Diceros bicornis minor: one gene and its partners. The protein of the gene in region 3 binds, or shares a complex with, the protein of the main gene of each other region. Links are inferred from orthologs where the notes say so. Each region holds a gene or a part of one and is shown on either strand. Other genes may lie near its edges.

Region 1 (6,840 bases), on a different chromosome or scaffold from region 3:
TAAATGCAGAAGGAATGATAGAATTAGGACGTCCCAGTTCTCAACCTTTCATGAAATAATGGAGCTAGGCGGTGATGATCAATAAACCAGGAGGTGAAAAACTGATGGCGAACTTTATAATGGTTGCCTCAGTCTGACTACATCTGAACCTGCTGCTCAGATTTAACAACGGAAAAATAGGGACAAGCAGGCATTATGTGCATCCTGATGTGATGGAATGAGAAGTACCATGATGTATTTTTATCAGAAAATTGAACATGAGGCTGATCAACCACTAGGTCTAACAACCAGTTTACAGGAAATACTGGTCGCAGGGGAACATGTTAAACGACACAACTAGTACACAGCCCAAAACATCCCAGTGTCTTCAACAGATAAATTGCAAGAAAACAAGGAACGGGGAGGGACAAACAGTGAAAAAATAATATGTATGAGATTGGACAATTTGAACTATTTTGTGATGTCTGAGATTTGCTTCAAAATAACCTGGTGGGCCTAGGAGGAAGGAGTATAGCTGAAACAAGGTTGGCCATGTGTTGGTAATTGTTGAAGGAGAATGGTAGGCTTCAAAGGGGTTCATTATAGTATTTTCTTTATTTTTACATGTTTGAATTTTTCCATGATAAACATTTTTTTTTCTAAGTTGTTTTATGACCAGTTCAAATGTTAGGACATGTGGGTTCCAGCCCTGAAGCAAGTGGCCCGCTAGGGGACACCTGGTCACTGGCAGTGCTTCCTATGGCCACAGGGTGGCTCCAAAACTCACTTTTGTGAGACGTCTCTGTAGAGCAGGCTGCGGTGAACCAAGGTCACAGAAAATGACAGAACAGACCTAAATGCCTGTTGTTTATTAACTCACAATGTGAAATGTGACTACCCAGTTCTTACTATCTAGTAGGTCCCTTAGGCAGGAAGCCTACTATAAGCAGAATGCCCCAAACTTCCGGCTGCTGGAGCCCAAAATCTAACAGTTATCCTAGACCCTTCTCTTTTTCTCGCCCACCCACAGCCCCATGTCCAGACCTTCTTATCTTCTATCTCTTTTTTTTAAAAACATAAATTTATACTGCCTTCACCTATTTCTAACTATCTCTTGATTCCTTCCACTTTGCTCCTGTTTCTTGATTCCATCCTGGCCTGATTTCATCCTGTCCTTCCTGGAGAACTCGATGGCTTCTTTACTAGCCTTCTGCTTAAAATCTATTCTCCATGTTGCAACCAAAGTCATCTTCTAGAATACAAATCCGACCATGTCCCTGCCCATGGCTGCAAGGCCCAACATGATCTGACCCTTGCCTACCCATCCCACCTCACCCCGATCTCTTCTTCCCCTTCCATTACCACACTTCAGACACACTAGCTTCCTGTTCTTTCAACAAACACACTGGGCTTGTCCTCACGTAAGGACCTTTGCACTTGCTGTTTCTCTGCCTGGAATGCTCTTTCCCCAGATCTCCACATGGCTGACTCTTTCTCTTCTATTTGTTCCAAGGACCTTGGGAAGTCTTGCAAAAGCAAGGTCACGGGCTTTCCTCACTTGCACTCTATGACAGTGCTTCCTTCACCTGTGAACAGTTAGACTTGATAAACTGTCGCTGGGGGAGCTTGGCCCTGAAGACCTGGGCTTTCCATTCTCAGGAGAAAAGGCATGTAAGTTACAGGCAGAGAGAAGAAGAGTATGAGGAGCCCTTCAGTCCTTGCATCTTCTCTGTGTACTAAGAATGTCCCCACGCTTGCTACGCTGTGATTTCCATGTTGGAGAGCACGGGAAGCCCACCTCTCATTGTATTTCAGTGTCATCACTGTCACATCATTAATGAAGACGAGGGTCACCTCAAGGGAGAGAAGCAGTTGGGCCCACCGTACTTGATGGGTTTGCCCGTCCCTCCTGAGATGGGGGAAGTTTGAAAATATTTTCAGAACTTTGAAACAGTCCAGTTAAAGAGAGAACCTCCCCTACACAGCTGAGAGCTGAGAAACCAGTGTGGGTAATATTTGATTATCATCAAATATTTTTTGAGTGGAGAATAAAGAGACTTTGCTGAACCTCACACTTTATAAAAATAATTCCTCTGAGAAGTCTAAATGATTGCAATTTTTATTTTATGAGTTTTGGTGATCACATTGTCTCCATTGTGAGGAAAAAGCTGTGCTGCCCTCTAAAGAGGCGGTTTTATATGAACATGTTATTACATAGTGTTAATATATAGGAGGTCAACATTTAGGGACACTCAATCCTAGAAATCATTCCTTCTTTTTATACAGCAATTTAATGTCTCAATGATAATATTGTATAAGACCTGGAAGGAAAACTTTAAAAGGCTTATCATTTAACACTTTTTATTTTAAAATAATTTTATTTCTAGAAAAGTAGCAAAAATAATACAAAGAATTTCCCTGTGCATTCACTGAAAAGGCACATCATTGTCTTTGCTTTATCATTGTCTCTCTATCTCTACAGACGCATATATTTTTTCTAAACCATTTGAGAGTAAATTGCAGACATAATGCCCCTTTACCCCAAAACACTTCAGTGTGTATTTTCTAACAAGGACGTTCTCATCCATAAAGGCATTAGAATATCAAAAATCAGGAAGTTAACACTGATAACAAATACTATTATCTAAGCTAGAGACCTTATTCAAATTTTGCCAATTGTTCTACTAATATTCTTTAAAGTAAAAGTTTTTTTTCCCTAATCCAAGATCCACTAGGATCACACATTAAATTTCTCGTGTCAACTTTGTCACATCTTAATCTCCCTTAATCTGGAAGAGTTCTTCAGTCTTTGTCTTTCATGACCTTGAGGAAACATCTTTTGACTATCTCTTTGAATTCTGAATTTTTTCACCCACTGGTTTATAAAAAGGAAATCCATTTATTACACTGAGGGCCTGGAAGAGAGAAATGCATTTCCTCTCACTTTTGACCAAATTTCCTAAAACAAAGTTTTAGGGCAAATGACCCACTTCAAACAGCTTTTTCTTGATCATATTATTCTAGTGTTTCCCTTTTAAAATTTTATTTATGGCACCTATTACCATGCAGACGTATTGTTTGCATGTTTGCTGTCGATCTCCCTGACTAGAATATAAACCCCACGAAGGTAGAGACTTCTGTCAAGAACAAGAGCCCAGCACAGTGCCTGGCACTTACCAGCTGGTCAATAAATATCTGTTGAATGAATGAACGAATGAGTGAATGAATCAAGAAATCAGAAATGCCCCTTGGTCTTGTACTTTAGACCGTCCTAAAAGCACTGAGATGGAGAGTAGGGAGAAAGATGATCTTCTCCTAAGTGGACGGGGGGTCCCCGCGACTCCTGTGACTGTGAGCGATAAACGCGGCCGAGAACTTTCCGTTCTGCAGGGATCCCCTTTGAGGCCCAAAGGTCAGTTGTCTGGGGAGTCAGGTGGGGGGAATCAGAATCAAGGAAGGTTCAGGTCCGGGGTCCTCGGAGAACAAGGGGCTGCGTGACAATAAGTGATAGCTGGACCATCTAGGGACATCCATCTCTCCACGTTTAGTTCCCTTCGTCTCCTCTGGCCCAGGGCAGTGGGAAGCTAAAGGGATGCGGAGGAGAGAAAAGGAGAGAGTGTCCATGCCTTGGGCATGGCGGTGCCCTAAGCCCGGCGGGGCGGTGACATCGTCTCTGGTGAGCAACTCTTCCGCGGAGGGTCATCCTGGGCAACGTAGCGGGGGTCTGCGGCCGGGCCGCTCCTGGCGTGGGCATCCGGGGAGGAAGGGGTGTAGTGGGCTAGGGCAGGGCGGGTGTCCTTTCGCTCGCCCTGCGTGGGCAGGTTCGGCGGTGCGGGGCTGCGCCACATCGCGCACTCTCACGTGCAGACGGCTCGGCTGCGCGATGGGAGCCGGCCCGCGGTAGGCACCCGGCAGGGACCACCCGCTGCGGACCCCAAACCTACGCTCTCCAAGAGGTCCACGGCGGCTGGAGAATTTACTGCTCTCGCGAGATTTTCAGAGATCCGGCCGCGGCGCCCGCTTACGTGGTTGCCGAGGCAACTGGGCGGTGCCAGCGCGAGCGGGAAGGGGGCGTACGTCGAGTTTTTGTCTGCTAGCCTGCGAGACTTCAGGAGTGGCCATCCCTAAACTTCCAGCCCCTTGAGACCTCGGCTTCTGCTCCAGACGGTGCCTCTGCCCCTGGGGGCCATGGGCCGGATCTCAGGGCTCGTGCCCTCTCGGTTCCTGACGCTCCTGGCGCATCTGGTGGTCGTCATCACCTTATTCTGGTCCCGGGTAAGACCCACGGCCACCCTCTCCCGCCCCCATTCCCGCCTCGGGGTGGTCCCAACCCAACCCCGCTTCTTTCCCAGGGCCTTACCTGGTCGGGTCCTCCCGTGCCTCGCTGCCCCCAGGCCTGCCCCGCAGCCCGCCCCTTTTTCACTTCTCTTCCTCTCTGCCCTGCTCCCCAGGACAGCAACATCCAGGCCTGCCTGCCTCTCACGTTCACTCCCGAGGAGTACGAGAAGCAGGACATTCAGTGAGCACTTGGGGCGGGGTGGTCAGAATTAAGCAGTGGTGGGAGTGGAGGGGTCTTAGAAGAAGTCCAGAAGGCCTGAACCAACCCCTTTCCTCTCTGCAGGCTGGTGGCAGCGCTCTCTGTCACCCTGGGCCTCTTTGCAGTGGAGCTGGCCGGCTTCTTCTCAGGAGTTTCCATGTTCAACAGCACCCAGAGCCTCATCTGTATCCTTTCTGCCTGCGCACCTTTCCCACACTGTCCGTTTCCATCACAACTACCTTCAGCCACATAACTAGGCTTTTCTGGCACAATAGTGTCTGCCCTAGTGGACAGTCTCCCCAGTTGAGAGATCTCTTTAGGCAATGGAGAGTATTTAATACAATCTTTAGTCATTTGCCCCTGCTATGCACCAGGCACGGGAGATCCAAAAATGGGAGTAAAACACAGTTTTCTGCCTTGAGGAAGAGGCAGACACAGCCATCTGTAATTCAGTGCGATAAGCACTGTGCTGTGGGAGTGTGTAAAGATATAAAACATTATGGGAACTCAGAAGAAACAGAGGAAGTGAGAAAGATGGATCAGGGAAGGCTCTTGACACTTGAATTGTGGACCAGGAGGACCCGGATGCTGGAGGGTAGTTCCAGCAGAGCGTATCAAGTCACTGTGAGCATTCCTGTGTGGCCTGGGGGAGAGGAGGAGCCTACTCCTACCTCACCGGAAAGGTCCAGCCTGGCCTTTAGATATGGGGTGGGAGTAGCCTGGGTCTCAGCTGTGCAGGCTCACCTATGGCCTCTGCTCACGTGGCTGTCCTAAAACTCAGAAGGCAGGGCTACCGGCTCTGACCTTTGCAATGTGAGGAGGAAGCAAGAGGTGAACCTGAGTGCAGATGCCAGCCCCACCACTGGCCTTTTCTGGCCCATCAGTATCTATCGATCCATAGGCTTTCCTTGACTCTGGTGCGTTCTCAAGCCATGGGGGCTCACTGTAGTGCGTCTGTGGCCCTATCCTTTTTCATATTCGAGCGTTGGGAGTGCACCACGTACTGGTACATTTTTGTCTTCTGCAGGTACAGTAGCGTCCAATGTTTGGAGATGGGGGGGTGGAAGGTTTACTCTAAATCTGAAAGTTTCCCCCACCAGCGCTTTACTCCATATGTGAAATACCAGATCCACTCAACATCCTGTGGTCTTTTCAAGTCCCGCCCCACCTAGGCTTTGGGAGTGGGGTCTCTGGTTTGGGGATTTGGGTATTTTTATTGGAAGGGGCCCTGAATCCACCACCTGCCTTTCGCAGCGCCCTCCCAGCTGTCACTGAAATGGCATTATTCGTCAGCGTCTTTGGGCTGAAAAAGAAACCTTTCTGATCACCTTCATGATGGGAACGTAGAGATGAAGGCTGGAGGAGCAAGGCACCACTCACCGTTCCTGGAAGAAGGCAGGCGTAGGCTTCAGCGCTCCCACTGAAACTGCATTTGGTGGAAGATGTCAGTGTTAGTAGTGTTAAGGTAATTATCTCTCGCGTCTAGGCTTATCAAAGTTTAATTTAGCTCTTTGTAATAAAATATATTTTAGAGTAAGATCAAGACTTATAAAAATTTCAAAGGAGAATCGGGATGGCCAAACAACTGGAGAAACGGAAGGCTGTTTTCCAGCTTTGGAGACTGTAAGATAATAGGTATCGCTTTTATTTTGGTTATTACGGTAGCTGTCTGGCGAAGGGGGTGGGCGGAGATATGTAAATAAGTGGCGCGTACGACTAGGACTCCAAGCTCGTGAGTGAATGGAGCATTCTGGGAGGAATTAATTTATCCCTTTTGGCAGCCAAATGGAAAAAAAATTTATTTTAAAAGATCTGCAAATAAATGTTCCAACAGAAGTGGGGGAGCTTAAATAAACAGGTTGCTCAGGCTAACGCATTATATAGTCACCGTAGTTGTTAGCGGAATCTTTTTCCCTGAGTACGGAATGCCCTAGCGAAAGTTGGTTATCGTCAGGTAGGATAATCCTTACCTGTTCCCCCTTTTTGGGGGACAGATTAGAACATGATGATTGGAGTGCGCATGATTCGTGATTAGCGTCTCTGCGTGATCAGGACTTGCAACACCCTGATTACTCCTATCTGATTTTTCCTGACGATCGCCTTGTTTTATTTTTGTACTGATGGTTAGACTTGATTTGCTTAAACATGAGATGTGTGTTGAGCTTTTATCAGTAATGGATTACTTTGACTCAACTATTTTCCAATGTTGTTTGTTACTCGTCAATTTTGTCGTTGCTGTTTTGGGTAGAAGCTGAGTGTCCCGACTTTAAGCAGTTGGCTAGGTTCTTTTCATTTGGGGGTCTTATTTATATAGGTCGTTTTTT
Region 2 (7,066 bases), on a different chromosome or scaffold from region 3:
GACTCTCCTCCCCTGAGATGGTCCTTCTCCCACTCTTACATCCTAGTCCTTGACCCCTTCCTAGGAGCTCAAGAGAGAGTCAATTATTCCTCTCTTTATTTTGAATCTCTCTTCTACTACTCCTTTCCTTTCCACTTATATTCTCCTTATCCTAAAAAAAAAAAAAAAAAAAAAAAATTAAAATTCTTTTAGCTCAGTCCCTTCTTTTGCCTTCCTTTCAATGCCAAGTTCCTCAGAGTAGCCTCTATCTGGGGCTTGTTCTTTCTCACTACTGCTCTATGGCTTGCTTCCACTCCTACCACTGTAATGAAACTGCACTCTAAAAGGTAACTAATGATCACCTAGTTGCCAAATCCAAACACTTTTTCTCCATCCTCAGCCTCCTTGACTTTTTTGCAGCATTTGTACTGTTAGGGGGCATGTGGTTAAGCAGCCCCAAGAGTTAAAATACCATGATTCAAAGTTTGTGTCTGTAAATTACAAGCTGTGCTTTGACGCAGGTTTTAAAAAATCTCTACGTGCTTCCATTCAATCACCTATAAAAAGATGGTAACAACACTATAGGTTTCATAAGGTTGTTGAGTGGATTAATTTTGATAATGTAGGTAAGGCATGGTACAGTACCTATCTCATTCTAGGTGTTCAATAAGCGTTTGATATCCTCTTTGAACCCACTTTCTCACCTTTTTTGGTACCCTTCTTCCTAAGCTGACATTAAACCATGTTCTCCTAGTCACATCCGCTTCTATGTATAACTCTTGCACATTTCAGCTGGATGACTCTGGGCATGTCTTTAAGCCTGATAAATGGGTATAACCGTACTGCCTATTCATAGGGTTGTTAAAAAGACTGAAATGATGCATGGAGGAAGTTTAGCACAACACATGGCATAGAGACAACATTTGCTTTCCTGATTAAAGAGACAGAGGCAACATCTCTAGTTCAGCTCTTTTCCTTCTTCTCATCTTAAATCCGAATTTTGATATCTGGTGTAAGGCATTCATATTGCAACTAAGAGGGAAAAGCCAAGAGAACTGCAGAGATGACTATCTGACATCATTGAACGAACACCAGCAGCCACTTACCTCCAGACTTCTCATATTTATTTTTGTTTAAGCCATTGTGAACTGGGTTAAACTACCTGATCTTCTATTACTTGTAGCAAAAATATCCCTAATGATACAGTCCCAATTGATGCTTAACAGCTTTAGCTAACATTCTTTCTCCTATCCTTGTAGGCAATTTACACAGACAAACCTATAGTATCTACAGTTATCTCAAATTTAACTGTGTCTATTTTAATCTTTCTGCTACAAATAATCTCTATTTAGCTCTTTGAGGCAGTTTTGTTAGATGCAGCACTCAAAGGTCTCAGATAACCATCATTCAGCTGTCTGTGGTATATTATGTCAATATCATCTTGTTAACTAAAGACAGTAGGTTTGTCCTACATGTAGAATATACCAAAATTTTTCTCTATCTATTCCACAAAGAAGCCACTTAATAGATTGAAACGATAACAGGTTATGGAGTTGGCCAGGTGGAGATAGATTCTAGTTTCACCACTTCCTAAAATGTACCATTTTTGATCCTCAGTTTCTTTTTTAGTAAAAGGATACAAAAAAATGGATAGTATTCCCTCAAAGGGTTATTATGAAGAGTTAAGGTTAATGCTGTTAAGTGCCTAGCACAGTGCTTAGTGGGGGACACAAAGAAGACCATCATGAATGGGAGCTCTTTTATTGCTTTAATTATATAGTAGGCAATGAGTAAATATTATTGCCCTAATCCCTTCCACTGAGCATATAACAGTATGCACTTCATTAAGGAAGACTAAAGTTAAAATTTGCCTGTAGGAAGCTTTTGCAGATTAATCTCAACTATTCTGACCACACCGTTTCTGAGTCCCCATTAACATTTGTATAGTCACGTGTTTTTTCAAAATTGTTTTCAGGTAAGTGGTTTCCACTTCAAATTAGTCACTCCAACAACACGGTAATTACTCAAAAACATTTTTTAGAAGTCCTCTTTAAGGAAGAGTTTGCAGAACATACACCTCCTGTGTCATAGATATTAGTGACTAAGTGAATGCTGGTTTTTTTGGGGAAGGACACATGAGGAACTCTAGGCCTAATGGTAGCTAATGGTTAAAGTTATGTAACTTCCTTAAATGTGTTTTCCACATGCATTGAGAATATTATGTGTGTGTGTGTGTATTTTCCTTAATAGTGACAAATTATCATTTTTATTACAAAATTTGTTTTTTTAATGGAAATTTATTTTACAGTTTTTTTTTTTTTTTTTTTGGTGAGGAAGATCAGCCCTGAGCTAACATCTGCCAATCCTCCTCTTTTGTTTTGCTGAGGAAGCCTGGTCCTGGGCTGACATCCATGCTCATCTTCCTCTACTTTACATGGGATGCCACCACAGCATGGCTTGGCAAGTGGTGCGTCAGTGCGTGCCCGGGATCCGAACCAGCGAACCCCGGGCCCCCGCAGCGGAGCACGTGCACTTAACTGCTTGTGCCACCAGGCCAGCCCCAAAATTTGTTTTTTTGAGAAAGCCAAAAGTCATTTCAAGCTACTACTGATGAATAAAGTGGCTTAAAATTATGCCGGCTGATTTTATTGGGAAGGGGAGAGGAGGACAAAATAACAACAATCAAACAAACAAAATACAACAAAAACAGAAGTGAGATTTAAATATTAAGAAATATTTTTTTCTGGGCCGGCCTGGTGGCGCAAGCGGTTAAGTGCGCACACTCGGCTGCGGTGGCCCGGGGTTCGCCAGTTTGGATCCCAGGCCCGCAACGAGGCACTGCTGTCAGGCCATGCTGTGGCGGCGTCCGATATAAAGTGGAGGAAGATGGGCATGGATGTTAGGCCAGGGCCAGTTTTCCTCAGCAAAAAAAAGAGGAGGATTGGCAGATGTTAGCTCAGGGGCCCATCTTCCTCACAAAAAAAAAAATATATATATATTTTTTCTTTTATGATCTATAAACTGGCTCTGAAGGTAATTCTAAAATGTTTTGGGGCTAACAGCCTCCAAGGGTGCCTACTTTGAAAGACAAAATTCATGTATGTGTAAATTTGATTTAAAAAATTAGGTTCCTTCTTTATTAACAAGTAGGGTAAAGATTATTTCATTTTATATACATTATTTCCTGTCCTCAAAACAAGGAAAGTAGAAACACAAAGAAAGGTCTGGCAGGAAGATCTTTTTTTTAGTGCTTGAGCCAATCTTCCAGCATTGCATATTTCAAATAGGTGTTTTCCCCACATTTTTGACAAATGTATTTTTTGTTTGTTTTGTTTTTTGTGAGGAAGATCAGCCCTGAGCTAACATCTGCCAATCCTCCTCTTTTTGCTGAGGAAGACTGGCCCTGGGCTAACATCCGTGCCCATCTTCCTCCACTTTATATGGGACGCCGCTACAGCATGGCCTGACAAGCGGTGTGTCGTGCACACTCAGGGATCGGAACCGGGTTGCAGCGGAGCGCGCGCACTTAACCTCTTGCGCTACGGGGCGGCCCCTGACAAATGTATTTTGACAAATACATTGATGGAATGTCTCCTTCACCACGACCCAGTCTGGATAAATTCTGAGGTAAACATCATTCAACGGTTTAATGAAACAATACTCTTAATTTTGTGGTACAATCAGATATTTTCTTTGCTGTGGTATCCTATTTCTTGACCTCCTAAATTGATTTCACGTCCCGCTAATGGGTCGCGTCCCAGAGTTTGAAACAACCTTTTGAAACAGCCGGTCGCGCCTGCAGGATCCAGGGTTAGCTTTCCTCCAACCCATCCTTTCTCGGACTAGGCAGCTTCCGGGCTTTGGTAACCTAGCAACCAGGCAGTGCAGGCAGATACTTCCGGAACCCCAGGCCGGGAGTTGTCCAATCGGCTCCGCGGACTCGCCGCAGGGGCTGATGGGGCTGATCGCCGCCGGCGTCTGCACCATGGTGACGGGCGGCGGTGGGACCGCGGCGACCATGGAGGCTTGGTCCACCTCTTCCCCCGCGGCTGTGACTGCGCTCCTCGTGTTGGTCCTCCCTCGCCTCTCACAGGCCCAGACCTTCTCCTTACCTTTCCGGCAGCCGGAGACGTGCGGCCACAACCAGTACTTCGATATCTCCGCGCTCTCCTGTGTCTCGTGTGGAGCCAACCAGAGGCAGGACTCCCGAGGTGAGACGGTTTGGGGTGGGCTCTGGAAAGTAACATTGCCGCCCTGGCGCTGCTCCCAGACCCCGGCGTCGCTGGAACACCGTTTCATCTGCGGGAAGAATGTTTCAGGAAAGGTAACCGCCGGCGCCTGAGAGAAGGGTTCCCTTTGAGGATTGCAGCTTGCACGGTGATGAGGTTGGGGAATCCCGAGCCCGCAACCCTGTGAGCCGTCGCCAGTCCCCCATTCCTCGTCCGAGGGGTCTTTAGAGAGGCACCTGGAAAGCTGCCCCCCGAAGGTAGAAAAGAAATGGAGGAGTAACCTGAGGTGCAGAGGAGCGGGAGACAGGACAGGTTGGGAAGGGAATGCAAATTAGCGCGTGTGAACTTGAATAGCCCGTCATCTTGCTTTTCAAATCCCAGGAACTGAGAGCTGGAAGAGACCTTAACCATGATCAGGTCCAGTCATCTCATTTTACAGATTAGGAAATTGAAGCCCAGATGATGTTGTAATGTCTTCTGTGTCGCCTAAATTAGGACTGGGGGACTCTGGAAGTGTCTCTCTGCTCTCAGTCTCCAACTTTGTATTTCCACTCTATAGTGTGTCCTTAACATTATAGATTTCCTTAGGACTTATCCCTTTTATTGTTGAATATTTCTAATTGCTCTTAAAGTCTCTTTAGATTAAGCTTATTTTTTTTTCTTGGTACGTCCATCATTTGATCCTAGTTCTCCTCCCTGCACTGCTCAGAATAAGACTTTTCCCGTATTCTAAAGTCTAAGATGTTTTTAATCTTGATTTAGTCACCCGTGGTATTAACTTTCTGCCATCTTCAAATGTGATATATCCTCATGCAATTCATTGTATAGGACAGGTCAGGCTCGGCAGCTGAGAAAATATGAATGAGAAAGCATTATGAACCCAGATATCATGTGCGTTCTATTACATAGATTCCTGTGGGTGCTGTTTCCACTTAATGCCTCCTTAGAAAATGCCGTCCTTACCTACCCAGCAAGTTGAATAGTGATTATCTTATAATGTTTACTGTCTGTCCAAACAGAGGAAAACTGATTTTTACTCTAATCAAGGTAACTTTCCTAATACGGTTTTGTTCTGACAAAGTAAATTTGAATTCATTGAATATATGTGTATGATTGGGTGAAATAGAAAGGTAAAATTTCCCATAGCAATAAATCAATAGTTTATTAGTTTAATCCAGTAATTTAATAGTCTAGTTATTATGGTAGCAAGCACAATGCCTACTGTGTGCCAGATGTATTCTAAGACCTTTACATACTGACATGTCACTAATACATATGCATACATAACTAATACTCATCCTAACCCTGTGAGGTAGGTACTGTTGTCCTCATTTTGCCAAAGTGGAAGCCCAGGCACAGAGAAATTGAGTACCTTGTTCAAGGTTATGCAACCAAGTAGCAGAATCAAGATTAGAACCCAAGGAGTATGTTTCTGCATTTGAACCAAGGCAGTACTGGCTCCAGAGTCTTGCTCTTAACTACTATGCTGCTTTTCAAGATCTTAAGAATTATTACAAGTTTCCCTATCTTGGAGTTTTATTTTTATTTACCAAGGTCAAAGTTGGCTCTTTTCTTTTTAGGAACTTCATGTGTGTGTCTACCAGGATTTCAGATGATCTCTAATAATGGAGGACCTGATATTATTTGTAAAAAGTGCCCAGAAAACATGGTATGGAGTATTTATTTTTAAATAATTTTACTGTAAAAAGTAAATTAAATGTCTTTATTTTTTAAACTATGACTAGATGCTGTACTCTAATATTTTCCCACAAACTTTACAATTATTAAGCTGACTTTGTTTTTGTTTGAATAGATTTTGGGAGATAAGTGAAATTTTATGCAAACTTAGAAAAAACAGAAATGTATTGCTTTGGTTTTTAAAATCTGGAATCCAGAAAACCAAAAAGCTTTGAAAATTTGTGTCTATTTTTCCTCTTAGAGTAACTCAGTTATAAAGAAAAGTAGATGAGTGAATTTAATTATGAACATATTCAGTCTTTTCAACCAAAATTTAAAATAATTTGTGGCATTGTTTTGTTATTGCCATTGTTCTCCGTTAATTTTGGTTACATCCATGTTTGTACTATAATTACTGTATTTTCCCCAGGTTTTTCCTAAACAATATAATATAATAAGCCCATTTTGAATGATGTCATATTTTATCAAAAACCTTTATTAATACAAGCTATTAATGGATGGGAGGAAATATCCTCATAATTTAATTTTAACAACTTTATTTACATATAATTTATATACCATAAAATTCACCCATTTTGAATCATAACAATTTTTAAAAGCTAATGTATTTGAATTTTTAAAAATTAGAATAATTATTTTAGAACAAATAAGACTAACCTATTAATTGGCTATCTATTGATAAAATCTTGTTGAATTTTGTTGTTTTATCTTTATAAATGGAAAAACTCAATGACAATATTAATTATGAAAGTAAGGACTCATTTGAACTGAAAATCATGAAGAAGAAAGAATTATTGGCCAGAGTTAATAGTCGTCAGTACATAGTCATAATGTATAGCTCCATTTGGAAATATAAGTACAAATTGGCTATCCAGGAAATTTTTATGTGGCTCATATGTTTATGATTTATTTGAATATTAACTACAAATTATACACTATTGTGGCTTTTTGAACTTATATAATCAGTTAAGGAGAAAATAATTTTTTTTTTTTAAATTTAGAAAGGTGTTACTCAAGATGGCTGGAACTGCATTTCCTGCCCTAGTGGTTTAACTACAGAAGGCAAATGCCACTGTCCCACCGGCCATATTTTAGGTAAGAAGTAGATTCTTCATGAAATAGTAGTGGTGAATCTTGATTCGTGTTTGTTTTTGATAAGG
Region 3 (7,251 bases):
CTTAGCACAGTCCTGGGGCATGGTAAGTGCTAGATAAGTGTTGGATATCATCTTATTACTGTTCTCACCCCACCTGGTGCAAGGACTAAGACTGGGCTAAGGGTGCTCTCCCCAGGCACATGGAGAAAGGTGCATGATAACAGCGATCCCACTGAGGCTGATAATAATAGCAAAAATGCGCTGGGTGCTTACTCAATGCCAGACGCTGTGCTAAGCGCTTTAGGAATGAATTCATTTAATCTGCCCTCTGGGACTCTTAATCCCCACCCTGGCCCCCAGTTTACCCACTCTCCTCCACAGCCCACAAGGCCTGTGTAGCCTGGCCTGTGCCCCCTTCCTCAACTCAGCTCCCATCACTCTCCCCAGCCCTCACCACCCTTGGGCCTCACTGGTCCTATTTTTGTTCCTGTCCTCGGGCCTTTGCACTGGCTGTTCCCTCTGCCAAGAAAGCTCTGCTCCTGGATGTCCCCATGCCTGGCTTTTTTTTTCATCCTTCAGGAACCAGCTCAAGTGCTGCTTTCGCAGAGGGGTTCTCCCTCACCCCCCTTTCCCCAAACTAGTCTCCATCACATCATCTCTTCCCATTTCTTCCTAGTGCTTACCACGATCTGTCATCACTGTGCCCGTTTCTTTATCTGCTGATTTATTTTCTGTCTCCCCTACTGTGAGCCCCAGGACAGCAGGGATCTTGTACACTGCTAGGATCCCCTGGACCTCCAACCCAGATCTTGGTATACAGAAGGTGCTCAACAAATGTTTGTTGGACAAATAAGTGATCCTAGGAGGCAGGTGCTAATCCAATCCTCATTTTACAGGTAAAGAAACCGACTCTAAGAAGGAAAGTCACTTGGCCATTCATTCCATGAACATTCATTGAACACCTACTGTGTGCCAAGCACTGTTCTCCACGTTGGGGATACAGCAGGACCACACACCTAGGTCCCACAGTGGAGCTGGATTCAAACTGAGCTCTGTCTGACTGCAGAGTTCAATCCCTTTATCCGACTGCCCCTGAGCTCTCTGCTAGATTAACTACCTCGCAAGAGCCCCCTGAAATAATAAAAATCACGTTAGTTACTGCTCCCTTCTGGGCCATGCAAGGAAAGTGCCAGGCCCTGAGTCTAGTTCTTCACATGCGAGACTTCCCAACATCCCTATGAAGGACAAACGTTCCCACTTTACAGAAGAGGAAACGGGGGCTCCAAGACGGGACAGCTGGACTGGAACCCAAGTCTGACTGGGCTCAGCTGGAGGACCCCAAATTCCCAGGCAATCTCAACCAGCACCCTACCCACCAGTGAAATCACCAAGGACCCGGGGCCTGAAGACATGATAATGGCAATAGCCACACTCGTAGCACGGGCATGTTCCTGTGCCAAGCAGCATACCTGGGCTTTAAAAATAAGTCCCACCCAATTGTTACAGGAGCCAGACACTCACTGAGCACTTACTAAGCCAGGCCCTCTTCTAAGTGCTGGTGATGTCCACTTAGTCCTCACAACAACCCCATGAGGTAAGTATTGTGATTATTCCTATAGTACAGACAGGGAAATTGAGGCAAAGACAATGCCCAAGGTCACATAATTAATAAGCCACAGCTGGTTTTGAACCCAGGCAGTCTGTGCTCTTAACCTCAACACTCTGCTGCCTCTTAGCTGCTGTTAGCTTCATTATCAGACAAGGAAGGGAAGGCTCAGGGCAGTCAAGTCCAAAGTCCCCCAATGAATAGGTTCGTATTTGAGCCCAGATCTGGCAGCCTATGGCCCTAACCATTATGCTGCACCACCATGCTATACTGCCTTTGATGGGGAGGCATGAAAATTGGAGCCTCTGAGGTCCCTCCAGGGGCTGTGTGGATGGACTTGTATGACAGCCAGAATGGGGTTCCTACATTCCCACAGAGAATTATGAATACAGGAGGGTGGCCTCTCCTGTGTAAATCTGGGATGAAAACTTCCATTTTACAGTAAGAACTCAATAAAGTAGAGGCTGTTAAGCAAAGAATTAAGATGCCAGAGGGACCCAAGGCACCCCTAAGACAGGGAGCAAAGTCCAAACAGTGGGGTTAGGGCTGTCTACTGTTTTGAGCATTGGAAGTGTGTGTGTGGGGGGGTCTAGCCTGTAGTCCCCATCTTTAGGGGCTGTGTGTTCAGAGAGTGGGAGTCAGAGCCCCCAGAGATGGGATAGGAAGGAATAAGAAGGGAGCCTGAGAATCACGTGGACAGTGTGGTCAGGCTAGGAGTCCTGAGAGCCAATGGAAGATGCAGAGCAGGGAATGGTCAGGGCATCAAGGAAGGAGGGTGGAGCATCTAGGCTAGGGGGCTCTTGGTGGGGAAATGAACCAGGCCCGGAATACCTGTGTGGACGCCCCACTTGCAGAAGAGGCTACTTTCCGAGAAACCTGTGGCACCCAAGATCTGCCCGATCACGTGCACCTCAGCCATGGCCCTGAGAGGGGAAAGATATAATCACAGCCCTCTGAGATACGGGTATTATTATGTCCACCTGACAGATGGGAAAACTGAGCCCCACGGAGTAAGGGGCTGTACTAGGATTCCAAGCTAGTTTCGTCAAACCACTGAGGCAGCAGTCTTAACCATGATCCTAACTGCCTCGCTAGGAGAGCCCCGGATAAATATGGGGAGCTGGGCTGAGAAGCTGGCGTCTAACTTTGCCTGCCTTAAAATAACCTTTTCCTCTTGCTCATTACGACGGAAAGCCCCGCCCCAGGGGCCTACGGCTCCGCCCACAAGCACAGAAGCCCCGCCCCCTCGCGTCAGATCGCCCAAGCTCCATGAGGCGCATGCGTCTTAAGTGCATGGCCGCCTTAGCCCCGCCTCTAAGCCCGCGCATGCGTTATTCCTACCTCAGAGCGCTTAACGGTTAGGAGGGGCGAAAGCGGCAGTGGGGCTTGGAGTTCATGGGCCTGACCTGTCCCTCTCTCCGCGGGCGCTGAATTCCCAGGCCTGGTTCGCCCCTCTCCCAGGACTTTCCCAGCAGTGAGAGATCTGAAGCAGTGAGATCCCTCCGAGCCGCGCCCGCCTCCGGGCTCCCTGCTTGTTGCTGGGGCAACAGCAGCCTCTTCCCCTGGCCTTGCACCCGCCCTGCGCGTCGCTAATTGGCCCTAGCCGTCCTCGAGGGTGGGGCTAAGCTATGATGGACGTTTTCTCTCCCCCGCTGTCTCCATTTTGGGAAAAGTGTCTCTCCAGCCACGACCCACGGTTCCGCCTTTTGGGGCGTGGCCGGGCAGCTGCCATCTTGAGTGTGGCTGAGGAAGTTTGAGCGCCAACTGTTTCTTCCAGTAACCCTCTTTACAAAATAAGCGAAGACGTCGATGCCCTATGCTCCCCTAAACTCTCTCCCAACCGGACCACAAATCAGAGACTTGAGCCAGGAACAAGAGGGACTCTTTCTCAGGTCATTGTGTGCATCCCCCTGCCTCATAACTGGAAAAAAGATCCTTCCTCTTTCAGAGAGACTCGAGAAGTTGGGGAGGGGGGTTTCCTTCCTTTTTTAGAGTTCCCCCAGGCTCCTCAAGGACTGATAAATCCAACTTCCTTCTCAGAAATACTGCCCAGTTCAGTTACTGCTGGCTCTGAGCAAGGAGGCGGGTGTGGGGGCAGGGGTATGAGAAATGAGGAACTGCGGCCCCTTTTTCTGCAGAAAATCCGGTTCTTGAAGACTAGACTCTGCCAGTGTCTTATCTTGTGGCCTTGCACGCCTTTGTGTCTCCATTATCTCATCCATGTAATGGGCGCAAGGAGACTGTCAGCGGCCCTGATACGTTCTGATTTCCTGAGCAGGGCCTTTCCCGCCCCCTAAGTGCAGTTGACCCTTAGTTACTCCTCCAGCCCAGACCAGGAGTCCAAAGGGAACTTTTTCTCCTACTTTTTAGCAAAACGGGACCACAAAAGTTCGAGTCACCAGCTCAAAGTTATAGGGAGGGGGCAACATTTCAATAGTATAATATTTATATAAATAATTTAATAGGATAATATTTCACTAATAGATATATTTGAAAGCTACCATTTATTGAGTGCTTTCTCTGCGACAGCCCCTGTAAACTGATCGTTTTGCATGCATGGTCTCCTTTAATCCTTGCAGGGTAGGTAACATTATTGGCTTTATTTAAGATGAAGAAATTGAGGCAAAATCTTTTGTCTTAGCCAAATCGATCACAGTTCTGTCTGACTCTTTAAACCTTGCTTTAAACCTTGTGTTCTCAACCTTTCTGCTATCCTGCCTCTCTTGGATACACGTCTCCCAGTGTCAAAGGAATATGGAAGTTGTGCCTGGGTGTCCTCCTAGACTCCATCACTTCCCACATGCGACAAGTCATCAAGGCCTGTCAATGCTCCTTCTTAAATATTTTTTCTTCAATTGGTTTCTTCCCCACTGGGTGATATTAGTGATTAAGAAAAAGGTTCCCAGGGGCTGGCCCTGTGGCGTAGCGGTTAAGTGCACGCACTCCGCTGCAGCGGCCTGGGGTTGGGATCCTGGCACTGACGCACCGCTTGTCAGGCCACGCTGTGGCGGCATCCCACATAAAGTGGAGGAAGATGGTCACAGATGTTAGCCCAGGGCCATTCTTCCTCAGCAAAAAGAGGAGGATTGGCAGATGTTAGCTCAGGGCCAATCTTCCTCACACACAAAAAAAGAAAATGGTTCCCAAGTCAATTGCCTGGATTTAAGTCTCGGCTCGGCCCCTTCTATGTGACCTTTAGCCTCTTTGTGCCTCAGTTTCCTCATCTGTAATGTGAGGTTGAATGATAGGACCCACCTTGTTGGACTGTTGTCAGGATTTGATGAGCTAATGGATGAAGCTGTTTTGAAATAATGTCCACAGCTTCTTTGACACCCCTTCTTTCAATAGGTGGAGACTAATTCCTCTACCATCCAGTATGGGCTGCACTTAGTAACTTGCTTGTAACAAATAGAGTGTGACAAAAGTGTTGCTGGGTGCCTTTTTTTGTTTTTTGTGAGCAAGATCAGCCGTGAGCTAACATCCATGCCAATCCTCCTCGTTTTTTTTTTTTTTTTTTTGGCTGAGGAAGACTGGCCCTGAGCTAACATCCGTGCCCATCTTCCTCCACTTTATATGGGATGCTGCCACAGCATGGCCTGACAAGTGGTACATGGGTGCGCATCCGGGATCTGAACCTGGGCCACCAGCAGCAGAGTGCGCACACTTAACCGCTATGCCACAGCGCCGGCCCTGCTGGGTAACTTCTGAGACTGGGCCACAAAAGGCATTGAGGCTTCCTCCTTCCTCTTTTTCTTGGATCACATCACTGAGGGAGGTCCACCACCATGTTGTGATGATGTTACTGCGCAAAGGGCATGATCTGCTTGCCACAAGACAAAAGCCAATTGTCAAGAGGCAAGATGGTGGCAGAGAAAGGGCATTTATTAAGCAATAAGCTAGCAAATTGGAAGATGGGGGACTAGCGTCCTAAAGAACCATCTTAAGGGGAGCACAGCATCTTGAGGCAGTTCTGTAGGCCAGTGGGTTATGCAGGAGGGGGTTAGGAATGTTAGCCCTCTGGTGTTAGACTGGGAGTTGCCACACCAGATCTTTCCATTGTCATTGATGATGGCTATCAGCATAGACTCTCTGCCCAGGGGGTCATCACATTACTTATCACAGCTGACAGGTACATACTCAAGCAGGGGCCATAAAATCTACAGAGCATGTACATCGCCTGAAGGGTGCATATCCAGTTGGGTCAGTGAGTCAGAGGTCATTGAGAATTACAGTATGGTTTCTTTTCTACAATGTGGCTTCCCTTATGTCAATCTTGTGTTGAGACGGTATCAATGGCGGTGAAGCAGGCACTTGAGAGACCCAAATGGGGAAGAACTGAGGCCTCCTGCCAGCAACCAGCACCATGTGAGTGACCTATCTTGGAAGCAGATCTTCTAACCCCAGTCAAGTCTTCAGATGACTATATATAGCTATGGCCAACATGCTGACTGTAACTTCGTGAGATGTCCGGAGCCAGAACCACCCAGCTAAGCTGTTGCCAGATTCCTGACTGACAGAAACCATGTCAGATGATATACGTTTGTTGTTTTAAGCCACTAAGTTTTGGGGGATAATTTGTTACGCAGCAAAAGATAGCTAATACGAGTATGTAATGAATTTAGGACAGTGCCTGGCACATAGGAAGCACCATAAATATTTGCTATTATTGATGGCTTTTACTGTTGTTGTTATTAGTGAAATGGCATATTTTACATATTATTATTATTATTACTATTTTTGGTGAGGAAGATTGTCCCTGAGCTAACATCTGTGCCAGTCTTCCTCTACTTTGTACATGGCTTGATGAGCAGTGTGTAGATCCACACCCAGGATCTGAACCCCTGAACTCTAGGCCGCCAGAGCAGAGTGCATGAACTTAACCACTATGCCAGCAGGCCAGCCCCCACATATTCTTTTTTTTACAAGAATCACACTGAATACTTATTTATTTACTTTTTACTTTTTATTTTTAAATTTTTCAAAAATGTGGTTGGAGCTGGCCCAGTGGCACAGTGGTTAAGTTCATGCACTCTGCTTCAGCAGCCCAGGGTTCGCAGGTTCAGATCCCCAGTGTGGACCTAGGCACTGCATATCAAGCCATGCTGTGGCGCCGTCCCATGTACAAAATAGAGGAAGATGAGCACAGATGTTAGCTCATGGCCAATCTCCCTCACCGAAAAGAAAAAAATGTGGTAAAATACACATAAAATTTACCATCTTAGCCATTTTTAATTGTACAGCTCAGTGGCATTAAGTACATTCGCATAATTGTGCAACCAATCTCTAGAACTCTTTTCATCTTGCAAAACTGAAACTCTGTAACCATTAAACAAAAACTCCCCATTCCCCCCTCCCTTCCGTCCCTGGTAACCACCCTTCTACTTTCTGTCTCTATGAATTTGACTACTCTAGGTAACTCATATAAGTAGAATCGTTCAATATTTGTCCTTTTATGACTGGCTTATTTCATTGAGCATAATGTCCTCAAGGATCATCCATGTTGTACCACATGTCAGAATTCCCTTGCTTTGTAAAGCTGAATAATATTCCACTGTATATATACACCCTGTTTTTTTAATCCATTCACCTGTTGATGGACACTTGGGTTGCTTCCACCTTTTGGCTGTTGTGAATAGTGCTGCTGTGAACGTGGGTGTACACATATCTCTTGAAGACCCTGCTGTCAGTTCTTTGGGGTATACACCCAGAAGTGGAATTGCTGGATC

What was found. The genes of interacting proteins can lie anywhere in the genome.
Region 1: B9D2 (region 3) and TMEM107 share a complex: the UniProt entries of both Homo sapiens proteins name them as parts of the tectonic-like complex. The link is inferred for Diceros bicornis minor from reciprocal best matches to the Homo sapiens genes B9D2 and TMEM107.
Region 2: B9D2 (region 3) and TMEM67 share a complex: the UniProt entries of both Homo sapiens proteins name them as parts of the tectonic-like complex. The link is inferred for Diceros bicornis minor from reciprocal best matches to the Homo sapiens genes B9D2 and TMEM67.

The regions. Positions count from the first base shown.
Region 1 is NC_080757.1:10,232,890-10,239,729, forward strand, and holds TMEM107 (transmembrane protein 107), read left to right. Parts: upstream 1-3,997; 5' UTR 3,998-4,167; coding exon 4,168-4,254; intron 4,255-4,430; coding exon 4,431-4,498; intron 4,499-4,600; coding exon 4,601-4,701; intron 4,702-5,446; coding exon 5,447-5,543; intron 5,544-5,770; coding exon 5,771-5,840; 3' UTR 5,841-6,238; downstream 6,239-6,840. UniProt on the Homo sapiens protein: Plays a role in cilia formation and embryonic patterning. Requires for normal Sonic hedgehog (Shh) signaling in the neural tube and acts in combination with GLI2 and GLI3 to pattern ventral and intermediate neuronal cell types.
Region 2 is NC_080760.1:13,098,435-13,105,500, forward strand, and holds the start of TMEM67 (meckelin), read left to right. Parts: upstream 1-3,964; coding exon 3,965-4,190; intron 4,191-4,204; exon of another isoform or gene 4,205-4,303; intron 4,304-5,788; coding exon 5,789-5,877; intron 5,878-6,907; coding exon 6,908-7,001; intron 7,002-7,066. UniProt on the Homo sapiens protein: Required for ciliary structure and function. Part of the tectonic-like complex which is required for tissue-specific ciliogenesis and may regulate ciliary membrane composition.
Region 3 is NC_080773.1:15,358,687-15,365,937, forward strand, and holds the start of B9D2 (B9 domain-containing protein 2), read right to left. Parts: upstream 3,070-7,251; 5' UTR 2,932-3,069; exon of another isoform or gene 2,867-2,931; intron 2,449-2,866; 5' UTR 2,445-2,448; coding exon 2,357-2,444; intron 1-2,356. UniProt on the Homo sapiens protein: Component of the tectonic-like complex, a complex localized at the transition zone of primary cilia and acting as a barrier that prevents diffusion of transmembrane proteins between the cilia and plasma membranes.